2 linked regions of the Kluyveromyces lactis genome follow. The protein of the gene in region 1 interacts with the protein of each later gene in a pairwise test. Links are inferred from orthologs where the notes say so. Each region holds a gene or a part of one and is shown in the gene's direction. Other genes may lie near its edges.

What was found.
Region 2: the proteins of SPO22 (region 1) and CST9 interact in a two-hybrid assay, tested with the Saccharomyces cerevisiae proteins (2 studies listed by BioGRID). The link is inferred for Kluyveromyces lactis from reciprocal best matches to the Saccharomyces cerevisiae genes SPO22 and CST9.

Annotation. Positions count from the first base shown.
Region 1 is NC_006039.1:805,950-822,467, reverse strand, and holds SPO22 (Spo22p), read left to right. Parts: upstream 1-6,672; coding exon 6,673-6,724; intron 6,725-6,829; coding exon 6,830-9,651; downstream 9,652-16,518. Other genes in the region: KLLA0_C09416g (uncharacterized protein), read left to right, coding at 1-862; KLLA0_C09394g (uncharacterized protein), read right to left, coding at 989-4,543; chromatin-associated RNAPIII regulator FPT1, read right to left, coding at 5,090-5,974; KLLA0_C09306g (uncharacterized protein), read left to right, coding at 10,472-11,884; proteasome regulatory particle base subunit RPN2, read left to right, coding at 12,290-15,091; UTP7 (Utp7p), read right to left, coding at 15,280-16,518. UniProt on the Saccharomyces cerevisiae protein: Involved in chromosome segregation during sporulation.
Region 2 is NC_006038.1:300,295-315,868, reverse strand, and holds CST9 (SUMO ligase CST9), read left to right. Parts: upstream 1-13,388; coding exon 13,389-14,333; downstream 14,334-15,574. Other genes in the region: DNA-directed RNA polymerase core subunit RPO26, read right to left, coding at 17-36; PZF1 (Pzf1p), read left to right, coding at 436-1,854; serine/threonine protein kinase regulatory subunit ATG13, read right to left, coding at 2,005-4,059; DPM1 (dolichyl-phosphate beta-D-mannosyltransferase), read right to left, coding at 9,749-10,546; isocitrate dehydrogenase (NADP(+)) IDP1, read right to left, coding at 11,136-12,425; COX8 (cytochrome c oxidase subunit VIII), read right to left, coding at 15,058-15,279. UniProt on the Saccharomyces cerevisiae protein: Component of the synapsis initiation complex (SIC) necessary for the synaptonemal complex assembly. Stabilizes the ZIP2 component to the chromosomes.

The DNA of each region.
Region 1 (16,518 bases):
GTTCCCGAACAGTAACTCATTACCTGTTTCTCTGATGATGTCGCTAGCATACTCGCTACCCCAACTTAAATGGCCTGAGCTTCCCAACGATTCTGGAGATAACATTGCATCCAGAGGTGTCCTTTACTTAATCATATTCCAACAAATCGATCAAACGTTGAGATGGTCATGGGGTTTAAATAAGCTATTGAGATGGTCTACTGAAATTGAGTTGAGCATTGAAGACACAATGGAACAGAATGCAGATAGATTGTTAACCAGAGGATCTGAGGACGAAGCGAACAACTTGACTAAAGTAGGCAGCAAGTTAAGATATCATTGGAATAATTTGCTATCATGTATGAATGGTCCATTGTATTCCATTATGTTTTCCATTCTCGTGGCGTCAATAAGACCATTGCAAGAGCAGCTGTTTGAATCCAACGGCTTTCTGAAAAATACACTAACGTCAGCTATAGATCAAATGGCTGATGTTTCTATCCCTTTGATTCTTGTGGTGTTGGGTGCCAATCTGTGCCCTTCATCTACAACTCCCTTGGGAACGCATAATCGCAAGAGAATAGTTTTAGCATCAATCATTTCAAGAATGATTCTACCAGCTCTTATTTTATTGCCATTGCTTGCATTTACAGTGAAAAAACTGCGAAAAAGCATATTGACCGATCCCGTATTTATATTAGTCTCATTTCTATTGACTGCATCTCCACCGGCCATTCAACTAACTCAATTGACCCAATTAAACGAGTTTTTCGAATTTGAAATTGTCAATGTGCTCTTTTGGACATACGTTGTCATGACCCTTCCGGTGACGATACTAATGGTGACAATCGCTTTGAGAGTGATGGATTGGGCAAGTCAATGAAACATACAACTCAATGCAACTGGCTTACATTCACAAATTATTAATTCATTTAACTATTTATATATTATTAAGTTAAAACTTTTGTTACAAAATTGTAGCAGCAAAACCAGTGGTTATGCAATTGACTCATATTTTTTTGGAGTCTTTGATTAGAGAACTGAAACCACTGTCAGTTTTCTTCTTTCCCAATGCTTTAGATGCAGATTTTGCATTAATAAAATTAGTATCAGATCCATCATCTGACGAATCGCTGTCACTATCACTATCACTACTATCATCGGTCCCTGACTGAAGTTCATCCTCTTCACTCAAACTAGAACTTTCGGGTTGGGGAACAGTCTTTGCAGCAGATTTTTCCTTGACTTCTGGAACCCCTCTAGAAACTAAGTCAGACAACGAGCTCAATGAGTTCCGAGATAATGTTTGTCTATTGACTTTAGTAGCTTTGGATGGAGGGGAAACTAAAACAGACTTCGCAGAAGATTTGTTTGCGGTTGGAGAAGCATATTCCATCATCTTGGTGACTGGAACCTTAATTGGGGATGAGTTGCTTTGTTGTGTTGATTGTGGGGCATTCTCCAGATCAGAAGTACCTTTGTCAATAGCGCTTTTAGAGATCGAGCCAATTAATCCCTTCGGAGTATCTACAATACCTCTACGTGTCTTTTTTGTCATAGATGTTTCATTTTCTGACGAAGTTGAGCTCTCTGAACCTGAAGAGCCGTCGGAATCTGAACTTGTATTGCTGGTTGAAGTAGAAGACAACTGAAGTTTGATAGGTTTATTAATAGTTTTCTTAGGCGGACCTGTTATGGACGCTTTCCCAACAGCGAATTTATTCCGTAGTTCGTCTAACTTTGATGCTCTTGATGGAGAGTCAGGTGACTGTACACCAGATTCAGCAGCTTTTTTTGCAGGTGTGCCGTTGGCCGAAGATTCGGTCTCTGCTCTCTCAATTACCTTGGGGGTTATATCTCCATTTTTCTTAGTTTCTTTCGGTCCTTTTTTCGTTGTAGATTCAGCTTTCTTGCGAGCAATCTCCTCTTGTCTCGCTCTTTTGGCAGCTTCTCTTTCAGCTCTCTTTCTTTCTTGCTCCTCTTGTTTTGCTCTTCTAGCAGCTTCTCTGTCGGCCCGTCTTCTTTCCTTCTCTTCCTCTTTCGCTTTTCTGGCTGCTTCTCGCTGTAATCTTCTTTGTTCTGCTTCTTGCTTCTTTTTCAATACGGATGGTGTTATTTTCTTCAGTTTGATGTCTTCGCTATTTTCTTTGTTAAAGGAGGGTTCCGTGTTTTCTTTGTTATTTTGGGATCTTTGGGATAATGTTATATTCTCATTTTCAGCATCACCATCGGAATCCTCTATGAACTCAGGGGAGATATAATCCTTTTTATTCCTAGTAGGGGAAGGCGAAAGCTGGCGATCTATCTTATCATGTAGCTGCATCGAAGGCGACGGCGTCACTTCCTTGGGTGTATCAACAGGCTTCAATGTTATTAGCCTCGAGCTAGTGACTTTGGCAGGCTGGGAAACACTCTTCATTTGGTCGACCTTACTTTCTGATTTCTGTGGATTTTCTGAACCAGCAGCTTTTCCTTCCTCATTTCCTGGTTCATCAGCACTTTCGCTTTCTTCTGAAGAGGATGATGATGAATTAGCTGAATTTGTCTTGTTAAGCTCATTTGTATCCTGAGTTTCCTCAACCGGTACCATAACTGGTCTTAATGGATGCACATTTAGTCTTTTGAGGTTGACTTCATCCATGCTATTATCACTATTTTCTGTTTCAATGTCACTATCTGAAGATGGTTCTTCACTAACGACTGCAGAAGAAGAAGAAGAAGAAGACGAAGACTGCAACGGTCTCCTTGAGGTTCCTGTAGAGATGAATTGGGCTGCTTTTTGAGCAGCCTGTCTTGGGAGCTTTGAAGGTAGGATATTTCTTGGATCAGGTTCACTATTGTCGATATCTTTGTTTAATACCGTAAGATATGGTTTTCTCGATCGTTTATTAATATCATTTTCCTGTAAAGCTCCAGCAGCTCTTCTGAAGGCCGGAGGGACATCGAATTTAGACCCCTTCAATAATTCGAGCAACTCGGATTTCTGGAAACTACCATCCATTCGGTCAGTTGGATGAATGCATACAGTATCATTGGCCTCATTTTCACTTTCTGCATTTTCAGATTCCGATTCACTGAACCCTTCTTTTCTCGTAGTATTGCTTGATAAATGGTTATCAGCTACTAGTTCTGATGCATTTTTAGCTAATTTTTCCACTTTCGCCTCCAAAGAACTTTTCCTCTGTGGTGGAAGGTCAGCTACTTTGACATTCATGCGCTTAGTAGCATCTAGAGGACTTTTCTTTGTCGGAGAACCGTTATCATCGGCAATGGATGAAGGTGCACGACTCTGCACACTAACTGGCAATGGAGCTTTTGAGTTGACTCGGACCGGAACGCTTTCTTTGTCTTCAGTAAATTCTCCTTCAGAGCTAGAGGAATCGTGCTCGTCAGGAATATACTGTTTTTTCATTGGAATTTTAGCTGACTTAGGTGGCAGAAGGCCAGCAGCTGGAGAAGAAAGACCTTCATGCATTGTTCTTTCCATCTCCGAAATCCTGGGTTCGGGAATGCGTAGCATTCCTGAAGTAATCCTTTTATTGGTGACCACCGGAGTAGAATTAATTCTTAACAAATGCTGTGCTTGCTGAGGCATTGCTAAGAAACCTGGTCTATTAGGTGTCTCTATAACGTTCATTGGTTTCATTGGAGTGCCTGATGGTAATCTTTGCTGTTTAGCTTTACTTGGATCGACTGTTTCTGATTTTGACACAGTATCTTCTGAGCCGTTAATTTTCAATCGTTTTTGCGCAATACTTGAACTTATTCTAATTGGAGGGGATTGAGGAACAGTTGGAGGTGGTAAAATGGATTTATCACCTATTTCATCATCCCCATACTCATCCTCTTCATAGTCAGAATTTACTTGTTTCGGATTTCTTTGACTCGGAGGAGGATAAATTTGGTGCGCCAAGGGTGTAGATATCCTCAATGCAGAGTTTTTTAATGCTTGCGGTCTCCTTTTTGCAACTGTTACGGGTTGATCTAATGTTGCACCTGTCGAGGTGTTTTGTTGAGAGTTCCCGTTATTCAACTTTCTTCTCTTGGAAGAGTATAATGATTCTTGCCTATCTGGATTAGATTCTAAGTCAACATCATTTCTTAAGATTACGCGAACTGTATTGTAAACATTGAACACATCTTTTACGACAAAATCAGGATCCAAATCACATTCATCTACATCTTGTAAGGTATCGATTTCTAATTCTGTTGATAAATTGGGGTAAATTTTGTTACATTTGTCTAATATTTCCTGCGAGAGCTGATATAACGTATTTGTTGGTTTCGTAAATATTAAGAATTTTTTGAGTTTCGGTCTTGTGATATGGGAGGTCATAAAACTGGAAAGATACGCTGTATTTGTTGATACATTTGGGTCTAGAGCCCCAATTCCATTCTGAGCCGGAATATTATTCGCTAATTGGGGAGCATTTCCTCCCTGTTGCAGAACCTGTTGTTGGACAGGCAGAATAAACTGAGAGGATTCTGATGATACAGAAGGTAAACCAAAATTGAAACTTCTATTAGCGCCCGCAGGCACCAACACAACTTGCAACTTAAACATTGCAAGAAAACGATCACACCTGTTTGAGTTTATAAAAATACTCTTGCGACCAGTTCAATGGAGTTGATTTCAAATTGTAACCCCAAGGACACTGCCGATAGATACAACTGTCTCGACTATTTGTTTTTGTTTTGTTCTTTGTTGATATAATTTGGTTCTCTTCATTTATGAAATGTTCAACTTTAAAATAGATAGAGGTTTTGACAGAAATGCCGCCTTCGTTTAATATGATTTGAGAAGCTAAGCGCTATTGTATTATGTACATAAGGCAAACACGTAAATATGTTAATGGTTAGTGAATAATGATATGGAGAAGACCGCAACCTGAGGGCCTGTCATTCCTAACATCAGAGATTTTAAGTAAGATTCCTTTTTTGATGGTATCGTTTATTTTCTTTTTGTATATTTTAAATATAGATGTTAATGTATCAAATAGATGAGAGCAACTTCGTCTTGAGATATCTGCATTCAGTTGGGGGGTACAAAAGAGGCGCACTGAACCTAACAATTCGAGATCGACAAATTTGAGTAATAGAATTTTTATTTTTAGTTGATAGACATTCCGTTCCCCTTCCTAGCAGGTTTATGGACCTGTCCGGCAGGTGTTTTTTTATTCTTTGCAAATGACGGCAACCTCAATGATCTCGTAGAAGGTTGTCTTTCCGTGTCATAGGTCTCGAAATTCTCAGCCATGGATTGGAAGAAAGTGTTGAAGTTTGATTGAAGTTGGGTTGATGGCATATGTGTGTAATCAGACTGAAACGTTATATTTTTATTAGCTTTAGTGGAAGCGGAAGGAGGAGATGAAACTGGGCTGTTGTCCTGATGGACTTTAACATCATACGATAGAAGGGTAGAGCCAAGCTCTCTTTTATTAAGGTCAACCATAGATCTAAGCAGAGAAAGAGCCATTGATGTTTTAAGCTCATAAGGATCAATTGGTTTCTTCAACTCTCTGGCTTCAAAAAATATCATAAGGTCAGTGGCAATAGAGTCCCAATCGATCTTCATGGTATCCCTAATGTTGAACTCTTTAAGTAGGTTTCTGACCATGAAGATATGCTGTGAGTCTTTCAATGCTTCAACTAGACGATCAGGTAAGTCCGTTAACGTATTACTGCCGTATAAAGTTGCTATTGCAGAACTCAACTTCCATTCTGAACGTGATTTCCATAAAGAATACGTATCTTCAGCGACGCAATATTCTAAAATGTAAAACGGCTTGTCATGATCGTCAGTATCATCACTATGCGAATTGGACTTTATCTTTAAGTTTCCTGTAATTGTTTCCACAGCTCTTAGTTGCAGCTGAAACACATCTTGCATCCTATGTAAATACCTTATTATCTCTTCAATTCGCGGCACGTTCTTGATTTTGGTAAGCTCGACTTTCGGCTTATTTTCACCAGCATAAACGTATATCTTATCCATTTCTCCCAATGACTCCAGTCTATTGTTATCTTCGAGTGCCACCTACAGTTATTCACCTAATTGATTACTCTCTTCTTTTTGATTACGTGTCTGTAGTGGGTTCAAGCAATCTATATTTGAATATTCACGTTGTATAATTAAAGCAAACTATGTATAAAAAACAATGGACAGTTAACGTATAATCACATGAAAACGAAATGAAGAAGTAATATAAGGACCATGGGAATGCGTGAGCAAATTGACAAAACCAAGTGTTAGCATGAGACACCCGCTAATGTCTGGGGTAAGGGGGGTGTTGGACCCCTGCTTATATGTTGTGATATTACTGAATTCTGATTATGGCTCTTCTTCGAAAAACATATGTGGTGTGCAGATTTAATGTCGAGATGTAAAATAAAAATTTTGGACGAGTCCGGAGTCGAACCGAAGACCTCTCCCATGCTAAGGGAGCGCGCTACCAACTACGCCACACGCCCGTATTAATCAGGTGTCATCCTCCTCCGTTAACCTGTCCCAAACTTCATGATGTTGCTCACGCCTCATCACCGGGTGATTTAAATTTTTTAAGGGAACTATCAGAACATTCTAAAAGTAACATCGGCGGCTAACATTTAAACATTCGAATACGTAGGTAAGATGACAAGAAGAGATTGAACAGCTCCACATATCCATTGTAGTTGCTTGCTGAAGTTTATTGCATGATGTGTGAGCTATCTTCAACTTTCAAGAATACCATCATCGAATTCGACGGTATGTCATTTTCTCTGAGAGAGCATCAATTCAACTAGATTAATCAAAGGGCAGCAACAGGCCATTTCATTCACAATCACACTACTAACACAAAGATAATTAAAGATGCGTTGAATTGGATAACAACCAAGATCAGTTCTGCGAAATGCTTGACTGAGGATGATTACCAACTTATTGAGTCTAAGATTAGAATCTTTATTCCTATCATAGATAAACATGCTAGAACTCTCAGAAGCACCAAAATATTGCTTGAAGAGGCATTGCTCTTTTCCTTGGAAGATTCTGCCACTAAATTATGGAATTCAGTTGCAATTTTGACCAAATTGGAAGGAGATGCATCTGAAAAGAGAACTATAGCAAACTGTAAATTATTCGTCTCTTTATTACTTGGTTTACACGAAGCAATTGTAATTGATCCAAAGTGCAAACTTAGATCATTTAGATGTATTTTGAATACAACGAGATATGCCATTGATTATCAAATTCAATCGGAGCTTAAAACGCAGATACAAAATTACTGTGATTCATGTTTTCAACAGCTTGAACAGTATTACGAAACATCCAACTGTTCTGGTAATGAATCTCAAGACGAATACAAAAGACTGAAAGTGGAAATGTTTATGGTGTATTTACAAAATGCAATGGAGGAATCTGACTTGAAAATGGCAAGATTTTATGAGGAAAAGGCTGAAATAGAAAAGAATGCCTGCGCGTTAGATGCAGACACAGTGATTGAGATTTGCAGAACAGTGTACAACGCAGCACTACATTTAATCGAGAATAAAAAGGCAGAGACAAACTTTTCAGATTTGGTGCATATTATGGAGAATTTAGCAAAGTACCTTACCCTAAAAGTTCCTGGTTTGGAAGTTCACCCTGATTTATTGCAGTTAAAGTACACGATACTTTTATTTGTTGCCAATTTAGCAATCGAAGACAACGCAAACACTGAACTATGTGAAAGACGTATTTCTGATATGATCAATCACTATCCTCAAAAACTTGAGTCATATAAGTTGGCAATAAAGTTTCACGAACTTCATAAGCCGGGCGACTATGTCTACTTGGAAGATATCTTAATGCAAATGCTTTCGACAATAAATGTATCAGCAAATATTGAAGGGATTATTGGATTTATTAATCATCAAGCAGAATTGGATACAGCCTCAGCGCTTCGTTGCTTGGACTATATTTTTTTCAACAAAATGAACTCCACCATTGATTCTAATGTTTTAGAGTTGTGCTTAGCAACAAGATTTTTCATAATCTCACAATCAAAAGCGCTGACTAACGACATCAAAATCAGAGATATGACACAAACACTGAATAATGTGCAAAAGATGATGACTAAAAGATTGAGCAAATCATGCGCCGCAGGTATCATCACTTTACTGTTCAATGAGGGAAAACAATTGTATAAAACAGGTAAACAAGCAGAAAGCGTAGAATGGTTCAACTTGGCGCTTAACGAATTGTTTTCTACAGAGCATATCGATACTGGGAAAATCCAGAGGGCCTTACAGTTTGCAATGGTTGATTTAGGGGATTTCGATAGCGTTGAACAGATATATTTTGAAATGAGTCCATCTGATCAACGGAATGCTTTAACCCAGTTGAACATGTTTCGGGTGTATGCTCACAGAAACGACTTCGATGGGGCGAAGAAATGTCTCGATACTCTTAAGGAATCAAACAATGACAAGTCAGTAGATGCTTTGATTATTGCAGTATCTGAATGTAAAAGATCAACCGACTGGGGAGTATACGGAATGCTTTCTATGTTCGATAAGATCCAGCATATGGAAAATAAAATTGCTCATACAAGAGGAGCCTCTGTTATCTGTTCGTTGAGGTATACAATTCAAATGTTGTTGAAAATGACAGAAAAGGACGGTATTCAAGATGTCGGGAAATATCTTCCAACTTTGCATATGTTGCTTAATAAGGGATCTGAATTCATCAAGACCGCCAAAACTTTGAAACAGTTGGCGGGAAAAGTGCAAAACCCCGGAATATATGATGAAGCAATATCAATTGATGATATAGAATGGTTTGCATCAGCTTGCTACAATTTGGTGAGGAAACTATTGAATGAAGGCAGAATAACATATCTAGATCATTTGATTTCCGATTGCAAATTATACTTGGAGTATATTCCTAAGGAGGAGTTGGATGACCATAAGAAGTTGTACTACCGTTATTGGGAGATTAGAACTGACGTCCTTTCTTTGGAACTTTTGCACCGGACATCGAACTGGATTTCTCTGAAGGAAAGTAGCCTCGCACTTATAGCACAAAACAAGGATTTCTTTAACACTTCCAAAGATAAGGAACAATCGGTGTTGACATCTGAAGAAGTACACAATACATTTATCGATATTATCGTGCGATCATTCGAAGCAGCGATGAATCTCGGAGATTTACTGCTATTGAAACACATTTTAGACGCTACTGCTACAAACCCCGACTATAAAGTCGACGAACTCGTTTGGGATGTATTCACAAATACACAAAAGATCATGTCTGACGCCTTTGCAACAGAACTTTTGAAATGCCTAATTGACAGAAATATGGGAAATACATCTATTTCGGATGATATCTTGAGTCAATGGATAAGGTCCTTACTAGAGGTCTCCCAGGGCACGGATGAACAGAACTGTTTAACAATTTTGTCACAATTTCAGATCAGAATAAAACACGCTAATAATTATTGTACTACCGAAATTGAATGGTTGACTACAGTCATTTGGAATCGAGGAATCTCTTATATAATCACTGATAATAAGTCCCAAGGTATTATGTGGTGCCAAAAAGCTCTTGAAATCTCTAAAATGAGTCCTTCAGAAGCTTTACAAAACCAGTTAAAGCAGTTCTGGTCGGAACTATCTTCGAAAATCAATCTCAGTAACATAGTTCTCAATGATTAAAACGTAACTACTTTATTCTGTCGTCATGTCAATCTAAGTTTGAATATTTAAGCAGGGGAGCCTTGAAAAGTGCGTTCTACATGACGAATGAATATGTGTCATGTGATTAACTCAGCCTTTCTGACTTCGATAATGAGCCAATCCAAAATTGACTTGAATTATTCCTTCCAAAATACGATTGTGCAAATGACTCGACAAAACCCGCCTTTTTTTAACTTGGACACTTCGTGTAAAGTGATTGCTTATGGAAGTATATCTCCGAGAAAGTATCTCCGGAAGATCATCTCCATTCAAATAGCATTGTGAGTATTTCATGCAGGTCCCAACACGGCTGTTGGCTGCATTAGTACCGTTGAGGAATGATTCATTGCGTGCAAAGGCAAGATACTTAAGTTCGAGAGGTTTAAACGTTATACCCTAACAAGGCCCTATTTTGTCAGCTCTAGGTCTGCAATTGATTGAATAATGAGTCTGATGACTGTTATGAATTAGTATGTGAAAAATTTTCCTCCAAGGTATAGAAAAAAAGCAAAAATAGTTTAATTACTACATGGATTAATTAATTCAATGTGTGGGAATCAGTGTGAAATCGTAATTGAACGTGATGAGTAATTCCAAGTGTCTCATTTTTTCACAGTAAGAAATAAAGTATATATAGAGGGTCAGATCATCTGGTAAGAATACGGTAAAATAGAACTTACCTCAACACTTCGCACTTAGCTATAGACTATCTATTCAAATCGGTTCAGTTTTGTTACTCAATACCTGTTCCTAAGCTAAAAAAACTACACCACTTACAATCAGTAAACATCCCAGCATTATGGCTTTCGGTCAACAGATCAATAATTTACAGGATTCCTTCGAGGCTGCTTTGAACTTATCCAGTTCTCCAGGTGCAGTTTCCACCTCTCCAACTCAATCCTTTATGAACACATTGCCACACAGAATCAATGCTGCAAAGCAACAGAAGGCTTTGAAGCCATTCTCTACGGGTGACATCAAGATCCTTCTTTTGGAGAATGTTAACCAAACAGCTATTGAGATTTTCAACAAGCAAGGTTATCAAGTCGAATTCCACAAATCCTCTTTACCAGAAGCCGAATTGATTGAGAAGATCAAGGATGTCCACGCCATTGGTATCAGATCCAAAACTAAGTTGACACCGGAAATTTTGAAACACGCTAAGAATTTGGTTGTCATTGGTTGTTTCTGTATTGGTACTAACCAAGTTGACCTTGACTTCGCTGCCAAGCATGGTATTGCTGTTTTCAACTCTCCATTTTCCAACTCCAGATCTGTTGCCGAACTAGTTATTGCAGAAATCATTACCCTAGCTAGACAATTAGGTGACAGATCTATTGAATTACACACCGGTACTTGGAACAAGGTTTCTGCTGCCTGTTGGGAAGTAAGAGGTAAGACTTTGGGTATCATCGGTTACGGTCATATTGGTTCTCAATTATCTGTTTTGGCTGAAGCTCTTGGTATGAACGTTCTCTACTATGATATTGTCACTATTATGAGTTTGGGTACTGCTAAGCAGGTTTCTACTTTGAATGAATTGTTGAACAATTCTGACTTTGTGACTTGTCATGTTCCAGCTACTCCAGAAACTAAAAACTTATTGTCTGGTCCTCAATTTGCTGCTATGAAGGATGGCTCATACGTTATCAACGCATCTAGAGGGACTGTGGTTGATATTCCTGCTTTGATTCAAGCAATGAGAGCGGGCAAGATTGCCGGTGCCGCTTTGGATGTGTATCCAAATGAACCTGCTAAGAATGGTGCTGGTGCCTTCAGTGATAATTTGAACACATGGACAACTGATTTGGTCTCCTTACCAAATGTTATCTTGACTCCACACATTGGTGGGTCTACTGAAGAAGCCCAAAGTTCTATTGGTATCGAAGTGGCTACTGCACTAACGAAATACATCAACGAAGGTAACACCGTCGGTGCCGTTAACTTCCCAGAAGTTTCATTAAGAGCATTAGATCTGGATCAAGAAAACACTGTACGTGTACTATATATCCATCAAAATGTTCCTGGTGTTTTGAAAACTGTCAACAACATCTTGTCCAACCACAACATCGAAAAGCAGTTCTCTGATTCTAACGGGGACATCGCATATTTGATGGCTGATATTTCAAATGTTAACCAAAGTGATATCAAACAAATATACGATGAGTTGAACGAAACTGACTACAAGATTTCAATCAGATTACTATATTAAAATGCTATGTTAGAATACTAATTCAACTTAGTTGCTTTTCACTTCAATTATAATATCGGTATAGATAAAGGATAGAACGTATAATTATATATTGTATGCATGATAATAGTGCTTCTCGATTTTGTAAATGGTGCAATATTGATCAACTGGACAACTGCGACTATCTTGCAAAGCACATTTCCTGATGGAGGTGGAGAGCATATTCTTGAAGAGGCTCTATAAAATCATTCTATACGATTAGGGTAGTTTTTGTATGGTTTCTGATTTAATTTGACAAACGGTGGCAAACTTTAGAACAGAAGCTTCAAAAGTATATAAATAAAGTCATTTACTATTCGCACCACATCTGCACATTACCAGGTTACATCGAGACTTAAGGTATTTAAAGCCGTAAACTCAACCAGAATGTCAGTTACATCTGCATTGCCGCTTTTGGCGTTATTGAAGGAATCTGACAACACTGTTAAGACTCATGCATTACAATCAATTAAAGACGTGGTAGATCAACAGTGGTCCGAGATATCAAATGATATTACCGAAATAGAAGCATTGTATGATGATGTATCCTTTCCTGATCGTAGACTAGCAGCAATTGTGGCCTCAAAAGTGTATTATAACCTTGGAGAATATCAACTAGCGGTTAAGTATGCCCTAGCTGCAGGAGAGTATTTGAATATCGATGAACAGTCGCAATATGTCGAAACGATTGTGTCACAGAGTATCGAAATGTATATTGAATTTGCTTCTAGTAACTACGAATCGGAACCTGTTGAAATTGATCCACATTTGGTTTCTATCTTTGAGAGAATGTTGAAGAAGTGTGTTTCTTCAGGGGAGTATAAACTTGCATTGGGAATCGCATTAGAAAGTTACAGACTTGATGTTGTTGAGAAGCTTCTCACTTCCCAGGACACCAGTACTAATGCCCTCAAATTGTGCTCTTACACATTGGCTGTATGTACCACTGCATTAACCAATACTCGCTTTAAATTGAGCGTATTGAAGAAGTTGTATGAAATTGTCATGAACATGCCTGCCCCAGACTACTTTATTATCTCAAAAATTATCGTACAGTTAAATGATATCGAATTTGCCAAGGAGCTCTTCTTCAAGTTAAATTCAACTAAATCATATGATGTTTCCTACCAAATCGCTTTTGACCTAGTAAACTCAGCCTCTCAGGGATTATTGAAGGATCTTTCTAATTCCTTGGACGCCAATGTATACGATCCTAAGTTACTTGAAATCCTTTCCGGTATACCCACCTGCGATTTGCAAAACACTTTTCTATTTGAGAACAAAACCATAGACAAGGCTCTTCTGAATAAGATGAAATCATCTTTGGATGGTAAATTCTCCTTATTCCACACAGCTGTGAGTGTGTCCAATGCTTTTATGCACGCAGGGACTACGGATGATAGTTTTATCAGACAAAATTTACAATGGTTAGGCAAAGCCCAAAACTGGGCCAAATTTACCGCTACTGCTTCACTAGGTGTTATTCACCAAGGCAACCTCTCAGATGGAAGAAAGATAATGGAGCCTTATTTGCCAGGAAATGGTTCAAAATCGAGGTATATCAAAGGTGGTTCATTATATGGTCTAGGTTTAATTTTTGCCGGCTACGGTAAGGAATCAACTGACTACTTAAAAGAGCAAATTCAAGCTAATAGTTCTTCCGTTGGAGAAGAGGATGTAGATGTGTTGCTACATGGTGCTTGTTTAGGTATTGGGTTGTCAGGTATGGGCTCGGACGATGTGAATGTTTGTGAGATGTTGAAAGAAGTGTTATATGGAGACTCAGCTAAATCTGGTGATGCGGCTGCTTTGGCTATTGGTTTAATTTTACTAGGTTCAGGTAACCAAACTGTTATTCAGGACTTGTTAACTTACGCAGAAGAGACTCAACACGGTAATATCACAAGAAGTTTATCGATTGCCTTAGCTCTCATAAATTACGGCAAAGAGGAACTAGCTGACGACTTGATTGATAAGTTACTAGCCAGTGAGAACGCCCTGTTACGCTATGGTGGTGCCTACACAATCGCCTTAGCCCATGCAGGGACCGGAAATAATAAGGCTGTGAAAAAACTTCTTCACGTCGCAGTCTCGGACTCCGACGACGATGTTAGAAGGGCAGCAGTCACTGCCCTAGGTTTCGTGTTAATTCGTGAATATACTACCGTCCCAAGAATCGTAGAACTTTTGTCAAAATCACATAACGCTCATGTCCGTTGTGGTACTGCGTTCGCTTTGGGTGTATCCTGCGCTGGTAGAGGCTTACAGGCAGCTGTGGATGTATTAGAACCTCTTTTGAAGGATCCAGTTGATTATGTTCGTCAAGCTGCTATGATTGCCACTTCAATGATATTGATTCAGCAGACTGAAAAAACGAATTCAAAGGTGAAGGAAGTTAATGAACAGTTCATGTCAGTAATTGGAAACAAGCACCAGGAAGGACTAGCAAAGTTCGGTGCCTGTATTGCCCAAGGTATCATGAACGCTGGTGGTAGGAATGTAACCATCGAATTGGAGAACACCGAAATGGGAACTTTGAACAGTAGATCAATAATTGGTTTAATGATGTTCTCCCAATTTTGGTACTGGTTCCCATTGTCCCACTTTTTATCGCTTTCGTTCACTCCAACTACCTTAGTGGGTTTGCGTGCTAGCGATTTGGCAATTCCTAAATTTGCTTTCAAATGTCATACGAAGGAGGGAATTTTCACCTATCCTCGCATGTACGAAGAAGAGGTGGACAAAAATATAGAAAAGTTTGCAGCTGCCGTCTTGTCAACTACCGCCAAGGCCAAGGCAAGAGCTAAGAAAGGTAAAAAAGGAGAACATGAAAAGGTTAAAGAAAAGGATGCAGAAAAAGTAAATGAAGAAAAGCAAGAGGTGGAACTGGAGGAAAAAAAGAAGGAAGAGGCCAAGAATACTGAAGAAGCTAAGATCAAATACACGACAACGAGCTATGATGTTGAAAACCTCACCCGTGTGCTTCCGCAGCAACTCAAATTCATATCTTTTGCGAAAGATAGCCGTTTTGTACCTGTTCGCAAATTCAGAGGAAACTCAGGTGTCATTATCGTTGAGGATAAGACACCTGAAGAACCACTAGAATTAATCAAGACCGTAAGACAAACAAAAGATATATATGCCCCATTACCATCTTCATTTAAAGTCGAGGATTCTCTTGAATTTTAATCGAGAAATTAGGTCCTAGCAATAGCGGTCATCCTTCATAATGTACAGTAAATAATCACCTCAAACTAAGTCGTATCTATATGCAAATAATTCAAACATGTTTTTGCAACAGTCGATACTAAGCCGGCTATAATAACAGATTATATAAGTGTTCATGTAAGTATACATATTGATAACTACTTGATGATTCAAGAAAATCTTGATAAGGCTTCATCAACAAGGTCTTTGTGATCATCAGCAAGTTCACCCTTCTTAATTTTTTCTTTTCTTTGGCGGCTAGACTTTTCCTTCTCTAGTTGTCTTTGTACCCTTAACTTCCTTTCATCCACAACATTACGAGTTTTCTTTCGTAGGAACGCACGTAATCCGGAGTTCTTACCTTTAACATCAGGTCTGGCATCAGGAATGTCTTTGTTTAGTTTGGATTTTTCTTGCTCTGCATTCGAGATAATTGCAAGATCCTTTGCATTTAATCTGACTTGAGAAGCACGAGAATCTACTGTACCTATTGTGTTTGGATTTAATGTTATAGAATCAGCAGGTAACTTATTCAATAATGATCTCACTTCTTGTTCCTGTCTCTGTTTGCTTGTTTCGTATGGGTTGGCCTCTAGTGCGTCGTAGTTGGCTTCCCCTGCGCCTGGAATAATCAAATTGGTTATACCCTTTTGATGTCCAACACCTAGCAAATCTTCGAATGGCGCAAACTGGAAGTTCTCTATTTTATTTCCAGCGAATAAATGAGACATATACGGAGTATTTCTATCTTTGTAACCGCTAGAGGTGAAATACGGTCTAGCAGCTTTCCCACTTTTCAACGTATCTTTCCAAATTGTTACATGAGGCCCTCTTGATACTGCAAGTAGACCTGTATCTGAAATTGCAACGTTAGTACCGGGCGTAGGCATGTTCTCAATACTATGTACTTCTTTAAAGTTTCTGATATCCCAAATCTTTAAAGATTTATCGGAACCAGTGGTGGCCATATAATAACCTTGTCTATCTACAGCAATTCCTGTTATTGATCCTCTAGATGATAATAGTCTTACCAGTGGTGATGGCATTGATGGTGACCATAGAGTGACTGTGCCGTTGCTATGTCCCAAATGCATTACTGCATTCCAAGGGTTCTGAGCCATCGCTGTAGTAGGACCTAGTTTAGTTCTGATCTCTGATACTAGTTGACCTGTCGAAACATCTTGATATTTCAAAAAACCTGTTTGTCCTGCTGTTGCCAAGAGATAATGATATGGTAAATATTCTAAATGTTTGACCTCTATGTGCTGCTTTAAACGATGCAGCTCTACACCTTCATGATCGTAAATGAACGTGTATTTTTTTTGTGCTACTGCAAAGAACTGTTCATTTTGCAAATATGTTGCTGCTTGCACTGTCTCCCCGAGATTTAGCTCACCACGAAGTTCACC
Region 2 (15,574 bases), on another chromosome or scaffold:
AATCGCTATAACATACGCTCCCTCGTTGTCTGACATCTTTATCTATCAAGATGCTAATCCTTGATGCCGCTGATCAACAATAAAGACCTGGATAAGACAATTTATCGTCCACATCGTGTTACTGTGTTACTCGCTAGCTCATTTTCATTTGAAGCTTTTTCCAATTTTTCCAAATTTTTCAAAAATCGATTGTGACAGTAAAAGAAACGATTATCAACACTTTTCGAGATGAGGTGGTGAACTGTATGAATATGTTACTGGTTCAGCCCATTTATGGTATCCTATTTGTCTTGCTTGCATTACCTTTGAGAATCGCTAGTAGTACACAGTTACTGAAGTTCTCAGAAGGAGGTGGTAGCTGCTTCTTTTCCCTGTCTATTCTGTATGATTATTACAGTTTTACGTCCCTAATTGAAAATACAAAATAAGATTCAAATGAAATTCATAGAAAAAACCCAGGCGATGAGGTGCGATTGGGTAAGGAGATTCACGCCGATACACGGAATACCCAACCGAGTTATGGACTATTTAGGCAACGTTGTAGTAGCTACTGATGAATCTGTGATGGTCGCGCCGACATACAATAAGGAAAATGAGGTACGGCAGAATGTTGTTGGTGAAAACGATGATGATCAACAATGTTGTGTACCTACACCGCCGCTAACCAGATCAGAGTCCATGGATAGTGTTATGAGTATGGCCAGTGTGACTAGCACTGTGTCAGTTTCATCGTCACAGCGTTCTAAAGTATATTTCTGCGATTATCAAGGGTGTAACAAATCGTTCACAAGACCGAGTTTGCTCACGGAGCATCAGCTCACCGTGCATCATGGAATCAAACCGTTTAAATGCGACACTTGTGGCAAAGAATTTGCGAAAAAATCGCATCTGAATAGACACATGTTCTCTCATACAGATGATAAACCTTTCACATGTTCTATATGTGGGAAAGGTGTCACAACCAGACAACAGTTAAAGAGACATGAAATTACACATACGAAGTCCTTCCACTGTTCATATGAGGGATGTAACGAATCATTCTACAAACATCCACAACTCCGATCGCATATCTTGTCCGTTCACGAAAAGAAACTTACCTGCCCTCACTGTAACAAGACGTTCCAAAGGCCTTATCGATTGAAGAATCACATAGATAAGCATCACAACCCAGAATCTACCGGAATGTACCAATGTGACTTTCTTTCATGTACCGACGTATTTTCCACTTGGTCTTCTTTACAACAACATATTAAACAATGCCATCCGAAATTACCATGTCCTATTTGTGGGAAACCTTGTGTTGCTGAATCAGGTTTACGGAATCATATGATGATTCATGACGAGAGTTTGGTCACTAAGAATTGGAAATGTTCTTCATGTCCAGATACATCATTTGCGAAGAAAACTCAGCTAGTACAACATTATGAAGAAAGTCACAAAGATGTAGATCCAGAATTGCTATTACTGCCGACGGACGCTGATGAAGATACGAATATTAAAGTGAATACAGATATAAAGATATCAGAAACGGAGGACAGTTTTAGTTCAGGGAAAAAAACGTTACTTGATTTCCCCTCTTTCTCAAAGAAACGGAAAGTTGACGAGCTTGGATCAGTTGAAGCAGAAATAAAGATAAAGAAGTATATTGAGTCAGGGAAGACAACCAAATCATTGTTATTGAATACAGTGGGTCAGAAAAGAAAATGTCCATATACCAATTGTAACAGAACATTCAAATCAAAAGAAAAATTCGATACTCATATTGAAAAGCACAAGATTCATGAATTAAAGATGAAGATTCTTGAGGACGAGAACCAAAAATCCTCTAAGAATGACCACGCTAGGAAGATTTAAAAAATTTCAGGTGAAGTTTGTATGTGATGTTTATATCTATATATATACACATATATATATTCAAGTATAAATTATTTATAAAATGCATTTTTGAAAGAATGGTTTGAGGTCGTGAAACCATTGTATTAATATTAATTATTGATGTCATTATTAGTTGGTTAGATTCATATCACTCATAACAAATAACAAATCATCATCTTCATCATTTTTTTGAGAGCTATTATGATGTTGCGAGCTAGTATGCGGTTGTGCTCCTTCTGTGTGCAGTGGGTCGGGGCTCATTTCACTCTTATGAAATTTTGCATGGGTAGTGGTAGCCGATGTTGTAGGGTGAGAGAGGTTGAGATGTTTCAATGGAAGCTGGTTTCTTGGGTAAGAACTTACAGAAATACTTCTTATAGATCTGGGCGACCCCATAACCTGCTCAGTAGTAGATGTTCCAGCGTTAAATGAACGTTTCATTAACATTTCATCCTCATCGTCATCTTTATTTATGGTTGCTTCATTGCTGAAGTGCATTCCTTTCATGTGAGACTGTTCGTCCTCTTTAGAATCTTCATTAGTCGTTTCCATAGTTCCTACAGAACCTCTCCTGTTTATGTCAACGTTGCTTCCAGTTCTGCTCAATAGATTATGCTTGTGTCTATCCAATGAGCTTTTCCTGCTGGTAATCAATTCCGCATTACTATTGTTTCTACTACCTTGAGATAGCCTGGAGGGAATGGAACCATAATTTGGTGAAAATGAAGGTATTGGAGAATGTGAATTTGAGCCAAACCTAACATTAGGCTGGTCGATGGACATACTCATCGAAAGGTTATCGCTAAGAGCATCGTTATTACTTTTCATGGACTGAAATCGCATCAATGAGTTTGAGATATCTTGTTGCGGCAATATTGTATTAGGTTTCATGTTCAACTCTTTCTTGTCTTCCAAGAGTTTCACAAACTCTAACAAATCTTCCGGTGGGTTTTCAGTGGATTTCCTTGGTTTAGCGGTCCTGTCAAAACTTTCTGATCTTCTAATACTAGAATGACGGCGGATCCTGCCAAAAGATGAAGAATATTTCGATCCGCTACCAACACTAGAAAGTTCTGGTGGTACATCACCATTTACTATAGTAGACCCGGCACTACCACGTTGAACTTTCAACGCAGCAACCACTGATGAACTCGAAACATTCCTTGATAAACTTGGAACAAGACTCGTAGTCGACTGGGCACTGCCACTCTGTACAAACGAGCCACTCCCAACTGATCCAACTTTAAAAGGTTGCAGTTTAGAAGAGATGGATTGCCTTCTTGCCGATGAACCTTCTAGGGGAAAAAGCGTCGCATTGATGGTATTTGTCTTGGGGGAAACTGACATAGATCTGCTACAATTGGATGAAGCCCTTCTATCAGGTACCGTGGTAGTTTCATTAGATAAGGATGGTGTCATGTATCGTTTTTGTAAATCATCTGAATCAATAACATAAAAGTCGACATCTTTTCTATAAGACACCGTGATACGCAACGAGCCAAATGTAGTTTTTATCGGTGTAATCTTTCGTTGTTCTAGATGTGAAGCAATGTTTGTTTCATTCATTGTGTTGGAATATGATGCAATAATAGGTTTACTTAAACCGACCCTCCCCTTAGAGAGAATAGGCTTAGAACCGTCAAGTAGTCTAGTTTGAACATTTATAAGTGCGGGCTGTTGTGAATTGTGTGGCTTGGTAATGATGTCGTTGGCAGGTAAGAGTTGGGTAAGCGTGTACAAGTAGCGGAACAACAATACCAATTGTTTATGCAAGTTTTCAGGATCATTTGAATCGATGGAGTCATCTATCGTCTGCTTATCAAGTTCTACAAGCCATCTTTCCAGTACAATCTCAGTTTTCTTGCCCCCTTTACAAACCATCCATGGATTACCATCCGCGTCATGAAGATACACCATATGGTTGGGTTGCAAAGCTCGTAGATCCAAGTACGTTTCTATTACTAATGGCGGCATTGTCTTCACTCCATCAAACGTGATCCAGGGCTGGATCTGAGCCTCCAACAGAGGGTCGCCGCGAGTTTCAATGTTAAACAAATGATTCCCATCCCTCAGCGCCTCCTCCGTATCAAAGTTATGTGCTACCTTGGACTGCTCAAGTAGAAGCGCAGACTTAAGAAAGAAGTTATTTATGAGTTCTATCACCTGAACTTCACCTTCTGACATCCTGAAGTTTGCCTGTTCTTTTTTATGGTCAGTGTTATTAAAGCAGTAAGAACAACTAATCTCTTTCACTCTAATATTAAACCAAATGTAAAAATGTCTTATTCAAGCCGCTCTGTTCATTTGAACCTACCACTTACAAAAGCTTTCTCTCCACCGTTTTGTCCTGTAAAAGCTTTCTCTCTATGTGAAAACTTGCTTTGGCAAATAACTGGTGCTTAATGACTCACAATGTTCCAACTTTCAAGGGGTTTCCCTTATTTACGTAGTTATTATTTATATCCAAATTCCTTATTATCTATTTTGTTATTTTATTTTTTAGGATTTCTCTGGCTTGTTTTACTATCAACAAACGAAAACCGTTAGATTTGGGATGACAGTGGAGAAAGAACCACAGTTCCTTGTGGTTAAGAGGAAGATTTCCAGACAACAGAACCGGAGGGGCAGTTTTCGGTTATTTGTAAATTTAAAATGCATAATATATAAGTATGATGAGTATGAGTTTGGCTATGATCTTGCATATATATACATATATATATTTCTTATGATTTTTATTGTTTTTATCTGTTTTATAATCTTAAGGGTAAGTGGTTAGGCAGAGAAAAGTAAATTATTAAGGCGAATCTTCATATCGGTCCCATAAATCGTAGAAAAAGTCTAGGAGACACCCAGTACTCCATGCTTGAGTAGGAGATGAATCCTGACAAATATCCCCGTCTTTGTTTGTTAATTCTGTTAATCCCGCCCATTCACTTTCTCTAATCCATTTACGGTGTCCGTCTAATCTCTTGTATAGCTGTTGGTAGAGGTACGACGATGGCAAGGTCTTTGAAGGATTTTGAGCTAATGGGTTTGAGAGGAAATGGAAGTGATGGTATGCACGCAAAAAGTAACCATAGCACCATACCCATTCTGGGCCCTGGTGGTAGTTTCTGCCTTTCGCGGTGTGGAAATCTGTCGAATCTTCGGAATTTCTGTAGTACGGTCTATAGTTATAGTCCGTTGGATCCAACGTCCTCATTCCAACAGGGCCCCGTAGGGCTTCATCTGCAATGTTCAACGCATTGTATGCATAGTCAGGGGTGAAAAGTTCTGGCGCCACTGTCATAGCAATGGCAAAATTTGGTCTCAATTGATAATCTTCGTATGGTTTACCTGATCTGTACAAATCCTTATAAATTCCTCTTCTGTTCACTAAACTGGCATCGATATCATATCGATCATCTTCATCTTCAGAAGATGGAACGTAGAATTTCATCTCGAAGTTTGTTAAGACTAGATCATTCCATTCTTTTAACGAAACCTTTTCTCCATTGGGCTTTTCGACATGATCGTATTTAAAGAGTCCCTTCTCGTGTAACTCACTTAAGAATCTCAAGCAACTTTTTAATAACCCGTTGATTTCAATAGCAGCACCATCTCTTGGTGTCCCTGGAATACCAACTGAGCCAGCTAGCTCACTTTCACCCATTTTGTCCATCCAGGTACCACAGTTTGACTGTGATCCACCAAATATTAATCCATTTGTCCAGTCGACTTTCACCTCAACGTTGAAACCCTCATCCTTCATAACTCTATCAAGGTTTGGGCCGGCATTTGCTTCTCTATACTTGATTCCTTTGGCATGTCTCGAAACGATTTCATAGAGAATATCTTCAATAGTAGATTCGTAACTGAAAGCCTCTGGGTCAGTCCATTGAATGTAACGGTCATCTTTAGGGAATCTTCTTGAGACCCTTTCCTTCAAGATGCTTTCTCCATTTGGAACCGTTTGAACATAATCTTGAACTGACTGAACGAAAAACCATGCCGCGTCTCTTGCATTGTATCTAGGATTTCTACCAGCGTCCAAAAGGTTTGGAATGAGACCATGCTTTAATGTTTTAGCAAAAGCAAGAAGATGGTTCTTTGCTTCATCAAAACGTCCTGTTGCCAAAAGTAACCCTCTCAAAGAAATGAATACGTCTCTACCCCAGCATCTCATGTATTGTGTGTACTGAAATGTGGTAAACCAGCAGCCATGCACGAAACATTTTGATCAGGTAATAAAGATGTTGAAGTCATCACAGAAACCATTTGCACCGAGGTCATTGCAAGGCGTTGCACAAAAAGGTTTGAGAGACCAATATTCTCAGACATCTGGTAAATAGCTCTAAATCTGCAAACCTCATATGCAATACCAATTACTAATGCGAAGAAACGCGGGACCAAGTAGTATGGAACTTTCTTGACGCGATCCATTCTTGCTTTAAGCCACTGTTGGATTTCAGAAATCCCAGGCATTTCCCTATAATAGTCAAGGCGGTCTACCACGTAATCCAGAGCCCAATGACCTAGCCTCAAGTTTTTGCTTAATGGATGAGCGAGATCATTACTAAATATGATGTTTCTTAAGACAGACACCCATCCTTGGAGCCCACAATACACTAGTGGACCATAATCTGGCACCGTATATATACCTCCTCTGTTAGCACTGACATCAGACTCTTCTGCACTGCATCTGTACAAAACCGCATTCAATGAATGTAAACTCAACTTTTCAGAGGCTTTTAAAGCACCAGTTCTAATAAATTCGTCTAAGTCTTCGGTAACTCCGCATTGTTTTGTTTTGAATACAGCAATCGAACCTGCAGGGAAGTCGTGTGGTAAGCTGATCGTGGTATCACCTAAACTTTCATTATATTGAATAACAAATCCATCCAATTCCACCAATTTTGTGGGGATTCCTTTGATTATCTTGTCATCATCTTTAGGCAGACCGCCATCTTTAACTAGGGAATAACTGAAAAGAAGTTCTGCAGTGGACCCCGATAGAGTGACGGTAGGTAACCTTTGATCATAATCATTCTCACTGAATTTTGTTCTCGCAATTAAGTAGTAGCCATCACCGAGTCTAGCATGAGTTCTGTGGTACGTGATAAACTGACCATCATGGTGAACATGCATTTCGGAATCTTCTGCATCATCACTCTGCGTTGCTATGGTTGCTCGAATTGCATTAAATTTCTTTTTCACAATGGATATACCATCATCTTTAACCACTGAATATTGACGTTTCTCTTTGACAACATCTAATAAATGAGGATATATCTCATCATAACCATAAACAGACCCGACAGCGGAAGAACTCAATCCAACGAGAGCGGCATTTGGTAGAGTATCTTCTACAGTTCTTTTTTGATAAGGAGTTTCGTTATCATGAGTACAATCCATGAATAAAGCATGAGGTGGAGCGGCAGATAAAAATCTTGGGATCTTAATTTCGGAGAGACTTTTAAGTTCATCGCCTAAACGGTTGTTATAATCAACAAAATCTTCATCGAGTTCCAATTCGGGACTATATGGGAAATCATCAAGTGGCATGAATTTATAAGAACCAGTCGGTCTTCCTCCATGTCTATGAATCAAACTTGAAAGTTCTTGCTCTGACCAAGCTTGCATGGCTTCTCTTATCAAAGATGAAATTGCAAGCTTCTCTACAAAAATACAATCCATTTGCTCTGATCCCGAAAACAATTCAGCGACTACGTAAAGATTTGGATTATATTTTCTTGCCAGGTCCAAGAAGTACTCGCCCACGTGAAGTGGGGTAGAATGACAATTATCGATTCTAAACCCGTCAAAAATGGTTGCCTGAAGTCTTGTATACTCTGACATCCTCTCCCATAAATACGGAGAATCCTCAGGTGCGGAACCGTACCTTAATTTCACACAGTCCCCCCAGACAATCACTTCTCTACGTAGGTATGCCTTGGAGTCCTTTGATGCAAAATCTACTAGTGGATTAGAGTTCCAAATCCAGCCATTGTTAGCCAATGCATATTCCTTACCATCTTTGGCAAGCAATCTGGTGAAATAAGGCTCAGTTAATGGCGATTCAGGAGTGATTTTTCCCATCTTTGGACCATGATCATCAATCCGCAAATACTTTATGCGATTGTATAATTGGTCTAAGATTACGCGAACGTCCTCATCGTATTCCTTGTACAAGGGTAAATTCAATTCATCCAAAATTTTGCGTGCTTCATTTGCAACATTGCCATTCCATTCTTCCCCATGAAGTTGTCTCAAAATTGTGATAAACTTGGATATTATCAAGGTATTTGCAAATCTTGTGGATAAAGAACCAAAGTCATCATTAGTACAAGAGCTACGAATGAAACCGGCCAATTTTACCAAGTCATCTTCAACATCACCAGGAACTGTTATAGCTTCCAATGGAGTCGAATCCCACTGATCTGCAACTTCTTTCAATAAAGCATCGATGTTTACTGCATAGAATTCCCATAATTTCAAAGAGCCTAAAACATGAATTTTGATACCATCCATAATAGAGATAAGATCTTCTACAGATGAAATATCCGTTGGATATCCAAGTGCCTTCATGTAACCACTGAATTCAAGTAGACTTTTATCTAATTCAATAGCAGGGAGTAAATGTGGTGCAGTAATGTGATTGTAACCAGATTCTGGATGCTCTAACAACCATGGAGAGTTGTTAGCAGTATGATTGTAAACCACATCTGTTAATGCGAGAATGTTGTGAGTTTTATGCAACTTTTGGACCATTTGCTTCACATCCTCTACGGTGTTAAAAAAGTTGGAGTCGTAGGTCAATTGGTCATAGATAGAATAAGGAGAATCGGACTCTCCTCTTTGTTGAAGAGGTGTAAAGTGGATCATGTTATATCCCTTGTTATCGATTTTGCGAAATATTGGGTCCCAATCTTTCCCCATCCATTTCGAAACTACACTCTGTAAGGCAATTGAATTTAAGGGAACAAATTTATCGTTCAAGTAAAGGACTGGTGGTACCACAAAATAAAACTTCCTAGTTGTTTCCAACTGGTCCTGTTCATTACGATAAGAGAGGTAAAAACAATAAGACCCCGGATTAAATACTTTCAAATCAATAAAATCATCTTTATGGAAGCTTGCCTTGATATATTTCTTATGGAATTTGTTCCTATCAAATTCGATGTCATGGCTTTCGGGACAATTAGTCCAAATTAAACCATCTCGAGCAACGGGGCAGCCTGCTGCCACAACCAAACGAACAGTGTACAATGGATCTTCTGGAGCTTTATTCGGTAGAATAGGAAGCGATGGCATGGTTAGCACACCATGGTTGTAAGAACAACTGACTTGTGGCTCACCATTATCATTCAATCTTAAGAGTACAGCTCTCATATCAGTGCCACGTTACCCTTCAACCTTTGCACTCTCACAATGTTTGTTTAAAAGCCGAATAAACGCAAACACACGGATAATCAGATAGCCTAGATTCAAAGAACTTATAAGTACTTTACCCATAAACTAACACTTGTGAGTTGATTATTGAGTCTTCTGCTTGTCGTTCGACATACCCCCCCTCATTAATTGCTATTGGTTAGTATCCTTTAAATTACACTTCTTTGATCATTTGTGCATGGGCGTCCCTTTAAAGTTTCTATGCATCATCAGGGTAACGAGAACGAGAATGTTTCTCGAAGATCATCCTTGAGTCAGGTGGTATTATTCCCCAGATATTAAGGAAAGTAAACTAGAGCTAAACCACCTTTTAGTTGATTGGGCATTGAACAATATTCTAGGAACACTTGTGAAATACGGTTTTATGGATATTTAGTTATTAAGAGTTTATTATTGTTTGCTATGATAAAGAAAAGTTCGTTCTTGTTCAGTATCTCAAGAACTAGAATACCAAGTGGTAAGCCTGGTACAGAATGTACAGTGCTAGGATAGTCCAGAATAGGAAGAACAGCAGTAGGTTGTTGCCACCATATTTATAGGTGTATAACTCTCTCAATTGGTGCAAATACTGTATGATGACCTTCCCACTCAACTTAGATTCACCTTCAGTTCTGACACCGAAAAAGAAAGGAACTTCGCCAATAGGTTCTTGTGGAGGAATTGGCAACTTAACCAACAAATCCAAGGCAATCTTGAAACCCTTTGGATTAATATTCTTGGCATCCTTGTGAATCAAGTACTTCTTTTGCAAACCGAAGAACCCACTCATCGGATCAGAGGCAGAAGTCAAAGGTTTAGCCATAGCTCTAGCACCACTAGAAATGACTCTACGGTACAACGGCCAGTCCTTGTCGATACCGACACCAGCAGCGTATCTGGTACCCAACACGAATGGATGTGTTCTCAAAGAATCCAACAATTGTGGAACACTTTCTGGTGGATGTTGCAAGTCCGCATCCATGCAAACCAAATATTCACCCTTGGCTTCATGGAAACCCTTCAAGACAGCGGAAGAAAGACCTCTTTCGTCGGTTCTGACGATGATTCTGACGTTGTAACCTTGCTTCTTCAAAGCCTCAACTTCTTCCACAGAACCGTCCTGGGAATTGTCATCGACGAAGATCAATTCAGTGATATTGGAACCTTCTTTACCCAAGGCTTGGAATAACCTGGTGGTCAATGGCTTGATATTTAGCTTTTCGTGGTACGCTGGAACAACAACAGAGTTTTCAATAGACATTTCTTATAGTATAATCTTATGTTTATTTCTTGAGCAATTGGTATAAATATATCCGGTCTTTATTAGTTATAGATAATAGCAGTCAAAAGGTTCCTGTTTCCCCAAAGAAAATATAACAGCGTGTGATTTGCTAACAAAGCTCGACTGGGTACTCTAATACAACTAAACAAAAACAATACTTCAAGTATTAACTACAAGAATTGTCAGGCATGTTTCTTTATATGTTTCTCTTTTGTAACTGTTAAAATATTGAACATGTTGTCCACTTTCGATTTTTGGACTTGAGGAAGGACAGACAACATCGGGTGAAAAATGAGGTGTGTGAGCCTGGTACATGTGACAGAGGCAGGGTAATGAAATTACTAGGACAGCGACAAGAGAAGCTATTATTCATAGAACGAACGACAATTTAGGATTATGCTACCGTAGTCTGCAAGGAAACTTCTAATAGGTATTTGGGATAGAGAGGGATTAGTGTAGTTATTTGTGCGTTTATATGTTTTATATAGAAATATTACTATTAAGAAAAGAGCCCATATATGTGTGTAATCTTATTCATCGACGTACTCTCCTGTTCTTGAAAGCATTTTCACTGCAGAGATTTAACGTCATTTCTGAATCTCTTTTCAACAGCATCCAAGAATTCGTCGGTGTTCACATAACTTGATCTGTCAGTGTTACCACAGGCAAGGGCCAAATCTTTGGTCATGATACCGTCTTCTTGGACAGTGTTCAAAGTGGATTTTTCCAACAAGTTGGCAAATTCGACGACTTCTGGAGTGTTGTCTAGTTCACCTCTCTTGGCCAAACCTCTAGTCCAAGCGAAGATGGAAGCGATGGAGTTTGTTGAGGTTTCTTTACCCTGTTGGTATTGTCTGTAGTGTCTAGTGACGGTACCGTGAGCAGCTTCACTTTCGAAGGCCTTACCGTCTGGGGTCACTAGAACAGAGGTCATCAAACCAAGGGACCCGAACCCTTGAGCAACGATATCGGATTGGACATCACCATCATAGTTCTTAAACGCAAGGATGAATCCACCCTTAGATTTGATCATTTGGGCAACCATATCGTCAATTAAACGGTGTTCGTACCAGATACCCAACTTTTCAAATTCGGATTTATACTCGGAATCGTAAATTTCCTGGAAGATATCCTTGAATCTACCATCGTATTTCTTCAAGATAGTGTTCTTGGTGGAAAGATAAAGGTTCAATTTCTTGGTGATAGCCAATTTGAAAGAGGCATGAGCGAATCCACGGATGGATTCGTCTGTGTTGTACATGGCCAAAGCGATACCAGGACCCTTGTAGTCGTAAACTTCCAAAGTCTTGGTCTCGGATCCATCAGTTGGCTTGTAAACCAATTCCAACTTACCAGGACCTGGAACGACAAGATCGGTGGCCTTATATTGATCACCATGGGCATGTCTACCGATGACAATAGGTTTTTCCCATCCAGGCACTAATCTTGGGATTCTAGGAATGACAATTGGTTCACGGAAAACAGTACCACCAAGGATGTTTCTGATGGTACCATTTGGTGATTTCCACATCTTTTTCAAATTGAACTCTTTAACACGACCCTCGTCCGGTGTAATAGTGGCACATTTCACACCAACACCGTATTTCTTGATGGCATTAGCAGAATCCACAGTAACTTGATCGTTAGTGGCATCACGGTTCGTCACGGAAAGATCGTAATACTTCAAATCCACATCCAAATATGGTAAGATAAGTTTACTCTTAATCTTATCCCAGATAATTCTAGTCATCTCATCACCGTCCAACTCCACAACGGGAGTCTGAACTTTAATCTTGCGCAACCCAGTTGCAGCAGAGCTGGAAAACTGACGATTAATACTCATCACTGCGGCCTTCATAGTGTCCTGTCCTGTCCTAATTCAATTTAGCTCAGTATACAACAACCGTCGAATATACCAACCTTAACCTGACCTAAAGTTATAAGGATACAGAAACTTTATAGCGCAGAGACGCAAATATACATGCATATATATATAATAGACTTAACCTCATCACTAATCACAGTTAAAAGCCAAAATATCCTTCTCAAAGCAGTGATAGAAAAATAAAGCGAATAGCTATAATAGAAATGATAGAAGAGTCATTCATATAACTTACTTAGGGCAATGGCAATCGCAGTACTTTTGTAGTTGCAATGAGAAGGTTACCGAACATGGAAGTAGCGGGTTTGTAATATTTCAGAGCCACGATTGATGCAATAATTTTGGGGGTAGTAAACTGCCCGAAATTTGTTTATTTGCTAGTAAGTCGCCGTTTTGGGCTCTGTTTTGGGGCGCTTTTGCTAATTTGTCGTGGGGAACTTCGTTACCAATGCGACGGTTAGGCTTTGTGAGACGAGAAAAAAACCGGATCAACTCGGGATTCAGGATAGACAGCGAAAGCTTCGTACTTTTCCAGTAGTGGTGGTTAATCGGTGATATGAATTGGGTGTTTGGTAGGACGCGAAGGCAGGGCCTGAGCCGGCCATGAGTCAGGGACTGGTTTTGGCATTGGCTTTGGATTTGTAGCGTGCGTCTTCCCTCCTATATACCCAATGATCATGTCAGCAATACTGGAGATGATAGCGGGAATTAATCCGTACACCACGTGACTTCCTTAGTGTCACGTGGTTTGTGATGTATTTCTTCTGTTTCCGGGTGACATTTTTTCTCGTTGGGTTTGGGAAATTGATTTCGGCGGCTAATTGTATATTTCTTACAATACAGCCATTGTTTGTATCATTTCTTGAAACTGACCAAACCCTCAGTTAAATACTTCCAAAACTAAGTTAGTAGTACAACCTCTCTTCCCATTTGAGTCTAATGTCTCCGCCAGTTGATTTGAATCAGATATGGGTAAACTGTTCCCAATGCCATAAACCGTATAACAACCAGCAAGGAACAAGCAATGGAAAGTTCTGGCTCACATCATGTGCTCATATCCTTTGTGATAAGCATTACCATAATGGAATGACGGTTTGTCCCGTGTGCACGACGAGTAGAATATCAGTACTTCCGTTAGATGGTGATAGTTCCAAACTACCGACAGAAGTGCAATCGTTCTTTAAACCCTTTGTATCACAACTGGAACCATTATACACAGTAGCTAATTTCCAGTGGGAGTCAATGGTGCAATTATGTGAATACTATCAAGATATGTGTCTGAAGTTACAGGAAAAGTGTAACAGACAACGACAGCTGTTGTACCAGGCAAAGGAAGAATTAGACAAGTTTACTGCTTTGAAGAAGGAATTAAGAATGAAGGACACCAACAGAGACGTCATATCGATGGTTACTAGAAATGACTCCAGAAATTTAATAAACGCAAAGGATGGGATTGAGCGTGATAATCAAGAGTCGTTCATCAGTAAACTACAAAACTCTCACCGATTGAAACCTTCACGGACAACTTCAGATGATGGAAACGAATCTCCAAATATTTCACACGTTCTTGCTGAATCTACGTCAATTGGAAGAACGGCACCAATATTGGTACCGCATTCCCCAACAACACCAATTTCAATGAACAATAAAAGCGGTTCTAACATTAATAACACGTTCGGCGCCAGATCAAACTCACGACAAGGAGTCACGAAAGCATTACCGAATGCATTGGAAAGATTGAAATTGAAAAGAAGTAGCACTTCAACGATATCATCAAGGGGAATATTATCACATATGAGGATTAACTCTTCTCAAACTACAACGGGATTCCCGTCGAGGAATAACACCACGGCACAATCGAGAAACAATAAATTTAAGAAATGATTAAATATTTGTCAGTTGATAAATAAGCTGATTTTGACGTTTTTTGAATTTCTGTTAATTAAAGACCTATACGTTTAAATTTAAACATATTGATAAAAATAAATGATGTTTCTGACAGTATTTCATGTTGATAATATAGTATTTCTTTGAGCTGATAGTCGGAAGATAGAAAAAAATGAGGGAAACGATTGAAGACTCCCGGTGAAACTTGATTCCAAATCCACTTATCTCTTGTGCTATTTTTCTTTTAAGATTATTATTAGATCTCACGAACGGTCCAGGAGTATGATAATGTTAATTCCTTTGTTATCTGTTTGTGATTTTTTGTTTGCATGAGTCTCGTCAAAGTGTCGATGAAGTCACTAATTTCAACTTTAGCTTCAGATTGCTTCGAACCGTTGCTTTAGTTTTTGATTTCGACGAGTGCAGGTATACATCACTCTCGAGAGATAAATAAATGTGAAATGAAGAGTTGAGTAATATTCTATTTTGCTGTCTGGTTTTGGTTATTGTGATGTGCTTGGTATTTTCTTTAAACCTCGGACTGACTATTCATTATTCATCAAGTAATAGAATAGAATATGTTCGCCGGCTGGCTGCAATAGTGCGGACATTTGCAGATGGATGGAATGTGTAGCAATGATGACATGAAAATAAAACGAAAATTATTGTGAAAGGATACGATATAACAAAGAGGGCAGGAAATTTATTTCTATCCACTCATTTAGAAAGCACCAAACTTCTTCAATTGCACGTAAGAAGAGATGAATGGAACAGCAAAACCTAGAGCAAAGAAACCGAAGTGGATGAAAGCGTATGGGATCTTTCTGTTGTGAATCTTAACTGGGATGTTCGAGTAAACACCTTCCTTGAAGTGGGCACCACATTGCTTGGAAGTGGCAGAGAAGGCTCTTCTGGTGGCTAGTCTGGTAACTTGGGAAAACATGTTTTGATTGGAATATTTGCTGTGGTATTGGACGCTAGGTTATCGAAACAAAGTTATTAATATCAACAATAAACTATAAACCATCCTTAACAAGAGTTGTAAATTGCAGTGCTAATTGTATTGAAATATGAAAAAAAAAATAATACGATATATTTTTTTTACCTTTCTATCGCTGCTAAGAAGAGAAACAGGATTAGGAAAAAGTCGTGCAATAACAAAAAAAATTGACAGAAGTGGGAAAACGGCTCAGAAAGTAGTGAGACACAAACGGAGTATCCGGGTAATGGTGTAAGAT